Linked DNA regions of Oryzias latipes. The protein of the gene in region 1 purifies or fractionates together with the protein of each later gene. This does not show direct contact. Links are inferred from orthologs where the notes say so. Each region holds a gene or a part of one and is shown in the gene's direction. Other genes may lie near its edges.

Evidence for each region.
Region 2: the proteins of smarcd3 (region 1) and bcl7a purify together in Homo sapiens (affinity purification with mass spectrometry; 4 studies listed by BioGRID and IntAct, counting the BioPlex papers as one, with this or other methods). This does not show direct contact. The link is inferred for Oryzias latipes from reciprocal best matches to the Homo sapiens genes SMARCD3 and BCL7A.

What each region holds. Positions count from the first base shown.
Region 1 is NC_019878.2:21,170,902-21,175,351, forward strand, and holds part of smarcd3 (SWI/SNF-related matrix-associated actin-dependent regulator of chromatin subfamily D member 3), read left to right. Parts: intron 1-180; coding exon 181-223; intron 224-2,430; coding exon 2,431-2,553; intron 2,554-2,640; coding exon 2,641-2,766; intron 2,767-3,145; coding exon 3,146-3,241; intron 3,242-4,450. UniProt on the Homo sapiens protein: Involved in transcriptional activation and repression of select genes by chromatin remodeling (alteration of DNA-nucleosome topology).
Region 2 is NC_019870.2:1,211,759-1,216,802, reverse strand, and holds the start of bcl7a (B-cell CLL/lymphoma 7 protein family member A), read left to right. Parts: upstream 1-2,015; 5' UTR 2,016-2,122; coding exon 2,123-2,214; intron 2,215-3,762; coding exon 3,763-4,013; intron 4,014-4,110; coding exon 4,111-4,260; intron 4,261-4,779; coding exon 4,780-4,883; intron 4,884-5,044.

The sequences.
Region 1 (4,450 bases):
GCTGCTCTCCGGGTGGACCGCTGCATTTCAGAGACACACAAAGCGGTGCACGCACACACACAGCTGGGATGCTGGGGTACTGGATATGGCCCAGCATTTTAGCAGATGGCCTGGGTGCTACGCTATCAGTCACCATAGTAACATGCTCTCTTTTTTTCCTCTTTCTCTCCCTGTCTCTAGTGCTAAGAGAAGGAAAATGGCAGACAAGATTCTTCCGCAAAGGGTGAGGCTGTAAATTTTATGCGTACCTTTGTTGCTCTGATTGTTTTTTCTGTGTGGCGTCCTGGATGAAGCCGCCGAGCGCAGCGCGGTTACCGGCTAAATGACAAGGAGGTTCTGGAGGGTTTCTTTAGGGCTGTCACTGAAATGACAAAACTGAAACGAAGGCGCCGTTAAAAGAGGCGGCAGGTGAGTCGGGCTTCCGCTCCTCCTGAGCGTCCAGACCCGCTCTTGTCCTCTGACCCCACCCAGACGGCGGATAATCAGGAGGGGGGCGCCGCTCCACAGCAGTGAGTCAGACGCTAGGAATGTCTGCAACAGTCCTTCATCATCAGCCCGATGAAGGAGAGGACGGGGGGGGGGGACTGGAGGAGGGGGGCTCCGCTTGGAGAGCAGAGATGCTCCGAGGACGCAGATCTGTGTCGGTCAGAGCAGCATCCCTGAATTTCAAGAAAAATCTGAGATTTCAAATTTTTACTTTTATTTTTATTTTATTTGATTGGTTACAAATATATTTGTAACTGTTTTGTTGAAAAAATCCCCATTTTTTTTCTGTTCCTTTTCATAGAAGAAGATGCATTAAGAGTAAAATCAAGAGTTTCAGGAAGTAAAGGTCAAACAGTTTGTTCTTTTTAATTGCATAAAAAGACTTCACAGGGTTGTTTCTGTATGAGGAAGTTTATAGAAGTTTATTAAAAAATAATTAGGGTGTTTTTTTTAATATGCTTTGATTCAGTAACAGTTTTTTAATAAAATGACACAGACCAGCAGTTATTGTCCACTTATATTTTATGGAAGCAACATAAATTACTTTTTTTCCACCCTTTTTAAATTAAAACTGTCATATAAAACTGACCCACTTAAGTAAAAAAAATATATATATATATATATTAAAAGGATGAATTAAAGTGAGACCAAAAGGTTATCTGTAAAGTTTTACACGTTAAAATCCCTAAAATGTGTTGGCAGGATCAAAGAAAGCGGCGCCGGGGGGCCCACAAACCAAAAAATGTAAATCTGGTCAAAAAATTTAAATATTTCAAATAGAAAAAAGGAAAATCCTGAAGGGAAATGGGGCAAAAATGTTTGGTTTAGCCCCCTTTTTGAAAATAAAATTCAAAATCGTCATATGAACAATCATTTAAGTAACAAAATATAATAAGGAGTTATTAAAATGAGATTAATAGATTATCTTTAAAGTTTTAAATATGAAAGATCCCTAAAATTTGTTGGTGCGAAAATCCTTAAAGATATATCAAAAATTCTTTATAAAAACCATTTAAATAAGCTTTTTTTGTGCCAGTGGGGTAAGAAAAACTGTCCTGACAAGAATTCCTATTGCAAGCAAAATATTCTAGTGACAAGACATGTTTTCTTAAACTTTTAAACAGTTTTTATCCTCGGCTCCTAGTTCACAACGGTTCGACTAAAGAAATATTCATTTTATTTCTAAATATTCAAAGATTTTTATTGTCAGTGTATTTCTACAGCGAAATTCCCAAAATTCAGTCAAAAAGAAGTAAACATCAAGAATAAATAAAAAAATATAAGAATATAAAAGTCCGTAAGAAAAAGACAAACAAACGGACAAACGCGATCAAAAATCCACGGAAAGATGGCGAGTGCACGCGCCGCCGCCATGATCAACTATGTCCTCCACCAGGAGAAAAAGGCCACAAAAAAATGTTAAAAACACATTTTCATCAGAGTGGGTCTTTCATTTCTGTTACTATTTTAGATAAATATTGCATTTTGAATTACTTTTCTGCCATAAAGTTTAGTATTTAACTTCGTTGGAAAGATGTCGGTTGAGTAAACACTGATAAAAGCAGTTTTTAATGATGGAAATTTAGTCTAAAGAAGTATTCAGTTAGTATACCTTCTACACTACACATGCACACTCCACAGTATATAATTATACTGGTACGTACGTAACGTCGAGTGTTGTACTATTTGCTCAGGGGAGGACCAGCTTTGCTTGTTGCTGGTCTTTGTCGTGCACAAAGGAAGCGTAAAATATTAAAAATTTCCTAGAAGTGCTGAGGGTTTGGCTTCATAACAGCCTCCAAACTTTCTCTGGACAGGCTTTGGTGTTTTATAGACGCCTCAGAACAGACCGCTCATCTTTTGAAGCTGATTGGATCTGCTGAGAAGATCACGCTGCTTCATTCACGCTGTCTAATCCCAAACGGCGGGCTTCTTTCCGAGCAGATCCGTGAGCTGGTCCCGGAGTCCCAGGCCTACATGGATCTGCTGGCTTTCGAGCGCAAACTGGATCAGACCATCATGCGCAAGCGCGTGGACATCCAGGAGGCCCTGAAGAGACCCATGAAGGTAGTGGAAGCGGCCCCGGCCGGCGCCGGCAGGTCCGTCCGGTCCGGTCCGCCCTGATCCGTGCGCTTTGTCATGTTTTCGTGTCAGCAGCAAAAACGAAAACTGAGACTTTACATCTCCAACACCTTCAACCCGGCCCGGCCGGACGCCGACGACTCGGACGGCAGCATTGCATCGTGGGAGCTGCGGGTTGAAGGGAAGCTGCTGGATGATGTGAGCTTCTTTTTCTAATTCAGGCGTTAAATGTCGGACTAAACGTCTGAAAATAACCGATTGCAATCTCACTGATCGCCGTGAAAGTGTGTCGCTCTTTGATCTGAGAGTTCTGAGGCGTCTGGGTCCACAGTTTGGACTGAAAAAATGTCTTCTGGCTCAAAATATCAATGATTGACGCTGAGAAAACAGATGAAGGGCAGAAGGAGCCGTCTGATGTTTGACAGCCGGCGGAGCCTTTCAGGTGTCAGAAGCCACAAATATTTCTGGTTAGGTTCGCAGGAAATCCAGTTTCTTCTTTGTGTTTCAGCTTCCTATGAGTCATTAGACGTGGAGGAAGGTCATGAGGTGAAAATTAACTATTGCTTTGTTTGTGCAGCCGGGGAAACAGAAGAAGAAGTTCTCCTCCTTCTTCAAGAGCCTGGTGATTGAGCTGGACAAAGACCTGTACGGTCCTGACAACCACCTGGTGGAGGTCAGCACACACACACATGCACACACACGTGCACGCTCCACCCTGAACACAGAGGAAGAGCTTCACTTTTATCTGATCTGAAAATGCGCTCGCGGGGTTCCTGAGATGACGCGGCATCTACAGTTTTAGCGCGTCTGTAAATAAAACGATAAAAACAGAGAAGCTCTCAAATTCAGTCACACGGAGGCCAAACACCTGAAGAGAAAACAGACAAAGGAAGGCCAAAGGACAGAAAAGCAAAGAGGAGGAGGAGGAGGAGGAGGAGGAGGAGGAGGAGGAGGAGGAGGTCCACTTTTGGAGTGAAGATGATGCTCTGATGTTTCTAGAGAAACCAGAAAAACTGGATTGGAAGGAATAATGTAAAAGAGGAAACACAGATGCAGATGACCTGATGAGGAACAATTTGGCCTTAAAACTTAAAGTTTCTCTAAATCAACGAGTAACTAACATATTTGTTATCATTGTCTTTTTGTGATTCCTCTCTGTTCTCAGAGTCTGCATTTTTAAATTCCAGTTAAACTCAGTAAATAACCTTTTTTCTTTCGTCAAATACAAATGAAATGATCAGAGCGTGTGAGAATATTTGCGTCTAAAACACATTTTTGGTGGATTTATCAGATCCTGTTTTGTTTCAGAAAAAAAAAAATCCCTTTTACAGAACTAGTGATACAAACTGAATAAAAGCAGAACTTTTGTCAATTAAATTGTGATATTTTTTACATAAAATCCGAGCTTCTTAAAGGGTTTGATGAATAGTTGTTTATTCTTCAATAAAAAATCAATTCATTATCTTTTCTTTTTTTAAAACCAGGCAAAATCAACAAAGCAATCTCCCCAAATGAAGAAGGAAAATCTCCTTGTAAATGTAAATGAAAGGTATCCAGACATTAAAAAGAATTGAACTGGCTTGTGTAACAAGCCACCTAGTGGTGACTTGGTGAACTGACTGGTCTGTGGTTTCAACAGCAAACAGGACGTCTCACCTAGAATACGTTTTTTTATTTTATTTCAATCCCATAAGCGGGTTTATTCAGATTTAGTCAGGCGTTGCTTAATCCTCTTGCCTCTAAGCATTAAAACTCAATGTGCTTTTCTTTGTTTTGCTTTCAGGGCAATAAAATTTACCAGGAAACGTAAACTTACATCGTCTTTTTGCAAACCTATTTGTAATCTACGGTAATATTTTAATTTTTTTGCTGCATGTTCCCC
Region 2 (5,044 bases), on another chromosome or scaffold:
CATTTATGTAATTCGGAAAGTTGTCTTAAGAAACTTGCTGTTTGTTGACTTCCTATTGACTTTCCATTTTGAGAAAGCGACTCACGTTTGCAGGTTATCTACCATGTTTTGCAGTTTGTACTAATTATTTTTTTTAGAAAGGCCTCAGCAGTGGTGTAAACTTGAATACTGCTGTGAGAAATGCACCACAACAGAGAAAAAATGTCAATTTTGACTTCTATTTGGAATTAAAAAACTGTTTTTTATTTTAAGTATTTTGATTCATTTCTCATTATGCAAGCTATTTAAAAATTCATAAAGGTTTAAAGCTAAATTGAAGGGCGGCCGTGGTGCAGCGGTAGGGCGGTCACCCTCCATACATAGCATTACGGGCTCAATTCTCGCCTTGCCCACTCATGTGTCAAAGTGTCCTTGGGCAAGGCACTGAACCCCACCTTGCCTCTGGTGGGAGGTTGGCGCCAGAGTTCGGCAGCGGAGTTGCCACCAGTGTGTGACTGTGTGTGTGACTGTAAATCGCCTTGCGCCTTCGAGGAAGGTAGAAAAGCGCTACACAAGTGTACGCCATTTACCCCCGGAATCCTTTTATGTGCCTTATTTTTTCCTCATGGTCTTCTGCCTCCAGACCTGCAGCCACTTCCACTGAAAAGTTTATGCAAAGTTTGGGGCTTCATTTAGAACTCGCATCTATGGAAGGTTCTACCGTTTTGGGTTCTACGTACAGAACGCATGGGCACTGAACGCACGTTGCAAGGTAAACCAGGTCAAAGTTTGACCAAGCAGGGACTTGGTAGTGACGAATGGATGGTGTCCTCTCGAATTCACAGAAGTGCCAACCATTGAAAAAAAGCTCATGGAGCTGCAGAAATGTATAATTGTGGTTTACGTCCAGCAGGAATTCTGTGATTTATCAGAATGGAGCTGTGAAAGAAAAAGTCTTGGGCAAGATTTGCACCACTGACATTTCACACCCAGCCTCTTCCAACTGTGGCAGATATAGTAAACAGTGGGGAAAGAAGAAGAAGAAGCCCCTCCCTGCTTGCCCAGTGTGAACTTAGTATTTTACCCTTTCATGGGTCAATTATGAAACGCATCCTCAGTGATAAACGAGGCAACTCTGGTTGGTCCAAATATGATGGACATGTTTTGTCAGTACTGACAGCCTCGGGTCACAAGCGTAACTTCACTATATGTCACAGTGTGACAGTCATGATAGTTTCAACCAGAACCCAACATGGCTAAGCTAAACGTGGATAGCAACCGCACATTTTAAATTATGTTAAATGAAAAAAAGTCTACCAAAAAAAAAATCATTGAAAATAATAAACATTTAGCAGAAATGGTGTTTTGGTGGTGATGGCCTCAAAGTGTTTTCATACCCTCCCTTCACGACAGGGGTTTTCAGGAGTGGCACAAGAAGGGCAACACAAGATTTAAAGATCTGTTTGTGGACAACACCCTGGATTCATTTGAGCGGCTAAGCCGAACATTTGGTAGATACCTGTTAGGCAGTATCTTCTCTCTCTCGCTGGAGACCGGTTTGGATTTGAAAGTGTGTAAACAGACCAGACGACACCGTGTGGCTGCATGAAGAGCTCAGATGTTTATGGATCATATATCTAAGAGCAACAGAATTTCGTTGTCACAAGTTTCTTGTGTAACAATGATAATAAAGGCTTTCTGATTCTGAACTTCCATTAGTTTGAATCAGAAAGCCTCCCTCTAATTCCATGTTGGTGTTTCCGGCCCTTTGATGTCTCTGCGGTAAAGCTGCTTTGTTCTTTTTGTGTAAAATACCAACAAAAATGACAAAGAGTCAAACTTTTTCTCTTTTTATGGCGATTTTTTTTACAAGTGAGTGGGTAAAAACAGAACAGCTGTGTTCCTGCCGCGGCGGACACCCTGTACCGGCTCTGGGGGCAGACCTGGGGGGCAGAGCGGAGGCGGCTGCGGCTTCTTTGTTCCGCCGCTCAGCAGGATCTGATCTGAGCTCAGCGCGCAGCCGCAGCCGCCCCCCCCCTCTTCCCCCGGAGCCGCGCAGGCGCACTGGCCTCTCTGTGCGCTCTACTGTTTGCATTGTGTCTGAACTGCCGGCGAGCTTTAAAAATATTTTAGCAGCGCGGAAATGTCGGGCAGGTCGGTCCGAGCGGAGACCCGGAGCAGGGCCAAAGATGACATCAAGAGGGTCATGGCCGCCATCGAGAAAGTACGAAAATGGTGAGTAAACGCCGGGAAAGGAGCGCTTCGTTACCCGGGAGCAGAAAGGCTCTCTTGTTGGGGGAGGAGAGGGAAGAAGCGAGACGGAGACGGATGAAATTGAAAGAAAACGACGTTTTCTGGACGGCAGATCCCGCCGCGGCTCAGGTGCAGCGGTCCGCACCGGCGTACCGGTCTTCGCCGGTCGGAGGCGGGCTTCGGCGGGAACCGGTTCGTCGCATAGCCGCTGTTTTTCCGCCGATTTTTAACGGCTAGGGCTGAACCCAGAAGAAGCCATTTCGATGCAGTCACATGAAGCCATTGCTGCTCGCTGCGGAGCCGGGAGCGCGAGCGGAGCGGCGCCGGCCAAACGAACACCCGGCGCGGACGGAGGGACCGTTCGATGACGCTCCGGAGTCCGGGCTCTTCGGCCCGCGAGGAGTTTTAAGGCAGCGCTCGGAGTCGCCCTTCGGGTCCGACGGAGCAGCGCTCGGTCGGTGGGGGTTGGGAGAGGGAAGTCCGCCGAGATGCATGGCTGAACGCGCAGCCAGCGGCGCCGAGCGACCGGTTCGCCGCGGAAAATCACCCTTTAACCGCCTTCAGCTTCTCCGCCGCACATATACGGTTATCACCCGGACACGAGGAGCGTGGATCCAGCCGCGTGACCCCGCCGGGGGGCGGTATTTTTTTCAATTTCTGCCTGTCTGGGTGGATTAATCAAACGTCTCCAGGTCAAAGTCAGAAGTTTATTTTTTTCGATTAAAGTTAAGAAAATAAAACGGAATAAACAAACCGGAACCAGAAACTTTAGGCGGGTAAACAAAACAGTTTCAGTCAGTTATTCCCCCAAATTTAAAAAAAGTTAAACATTTTGTTTGTAAATTGCAACAATTCATTCCTAATAAAAAATATTTTTAAAACACATTTTAACTTCTGTTTAGTTTTATTAACATCAGTTTAAGGATTAAACATTTGTTTCAGTTTACATTTTTTTCTTATATATGAGAAATTTTAATACCAAAATTGTTTATTTAGATAGAGGGATTTTACCTTAACACCTAAATGTAGCTTTTTTAAAGGTTTAAGTAGTGATTTAGAAAAACAAGGGAAATAATCGAATCATACTGATCAATAATCAATATATTGATCATTTAGTGACATTATTTTTATAACTTTTTTGTTGGTTTTTATAAATTATAGAAAAATATTTTTTTCCAACACACACTTCATATTCATTTATGAATAATAAAGCTGTTTAAGATTTTTGTATATATACATCTGATCGGTAACTAATCAATAATATAATTAATGTATTTTGTAAAATATAAAAGTAATAAAATCAGTTTGAAATCTTAAAATAAGATTTTTAAAGAGGAGAAAATAGCATTTTTCACATAAATCCCTTTTAACATATATATTTAAAGGATTTATTATTGATATAATTAAGGGGAAAAAATCTTCTTTTGATGTGATTTTTGGTTTTTTAATGAAAGGCGCTTCTGTCAGGATGATGAGGTTTTCCCCTTAAAGTCAGAGATGCTTCCTGTCCTGATGGTTTCCTCTCTTCAGGGAGAAGAAGTGGGTGACGGTGGGAGACACGTCCCTCCGCATCTACAAGTGGGTCCCGGTGACGGAGCCCAAATCTGAGGACGTGAGTCCGCCTCTGACACCTGTCAGCCGGGGTTTCTCTTCAAAATGGATGATTCTTATTTTCCGTTTTCAGAAAAACAAAAACAAGAAAAAGGGCAAAGATGAGAAGTACGGCTCAGAGGTGACGACCCCGGAGAACAGCTCGTCTCCGGGGATGATGGACATGCACGGTGAGGCCCCACCCCCCCACCTGAGGTCACAGCTGGACATGACAACAGGTCGTTCTCTGATGAATGTAAATAAAGGCTGAGCGTGCTTCTCCTTCAGACGACAACAGCAACCAGAGCTCCATCGCAGACTCGTCCCCAGTGAAGCAGGAAAACAGCTGTAGCACAAGCCCCGCCCCCGAGAACAACGCCGCCACGCTCCGTGAGAACAGCGAGACCAAGAGCGAGCAGAGCCCGGACAGCAAGAGAGGTCAGAGGTCAAATGCAAACAGCAGCTGGTTGGAGCCAGCGACCCCTCGGCGCAGCTGTAGCCTCAGCGCCGCCCTCAGGGAATTCAACCGTCAACCGTGTTTTCCAGACGGGCTCTGATTGAGAGCACAGAGAGGAAATGAAGTCAGACAGTCTGAGCCAATCAGAAAGGCTCTGTGTGAAGCCCCGCCCTGATGCGTTGTGAAAACGGCGCCCTCATCATGGCCGATCTTCAGAAAGACCAATTAAGATTTAATTGAAGCAAAACTGAACGAATCCAATACTTTGACGGAATAAAAGACAAACCTTTATCCCAATTTGTCACAGAATTCCTTAAATACGACCAATTCAATTTATAAACCCTAAAATTACAACAATAGTTGTCCTGATGGGCTTCAATGTGACGGAGAACCTTTACATCTCGTTACAAGTTGCAGTTCCTTCATTTCACCACAGGGTGTCAGTAAAGCACCACAAAAGGGACTGCAGTTTGATCCAAGCTGTGACCTCTGACCCACAGGTAAGACCACGCCCTCGTCAGAGACCTCAGAGAGAGCGCACGGCGCCAAGAGAGACGGCCAGTCGTCGGGGGAGAAGGAGTCACCAGACAGCAAAGCTACTCAGGTACAAACACACCTGCGTGGGTCAAGCTCCGCCTCCGCAGGTGTTTTGAAATGCGTGCAGATCATCCGTCTTGAGGTCTCCTGCTGTGATTTTCAGAAACATGTTTAATATTTGTGCTGAACATCAGCAAAGCAGACGACTGAAAGTCCTCAATGTTGGCG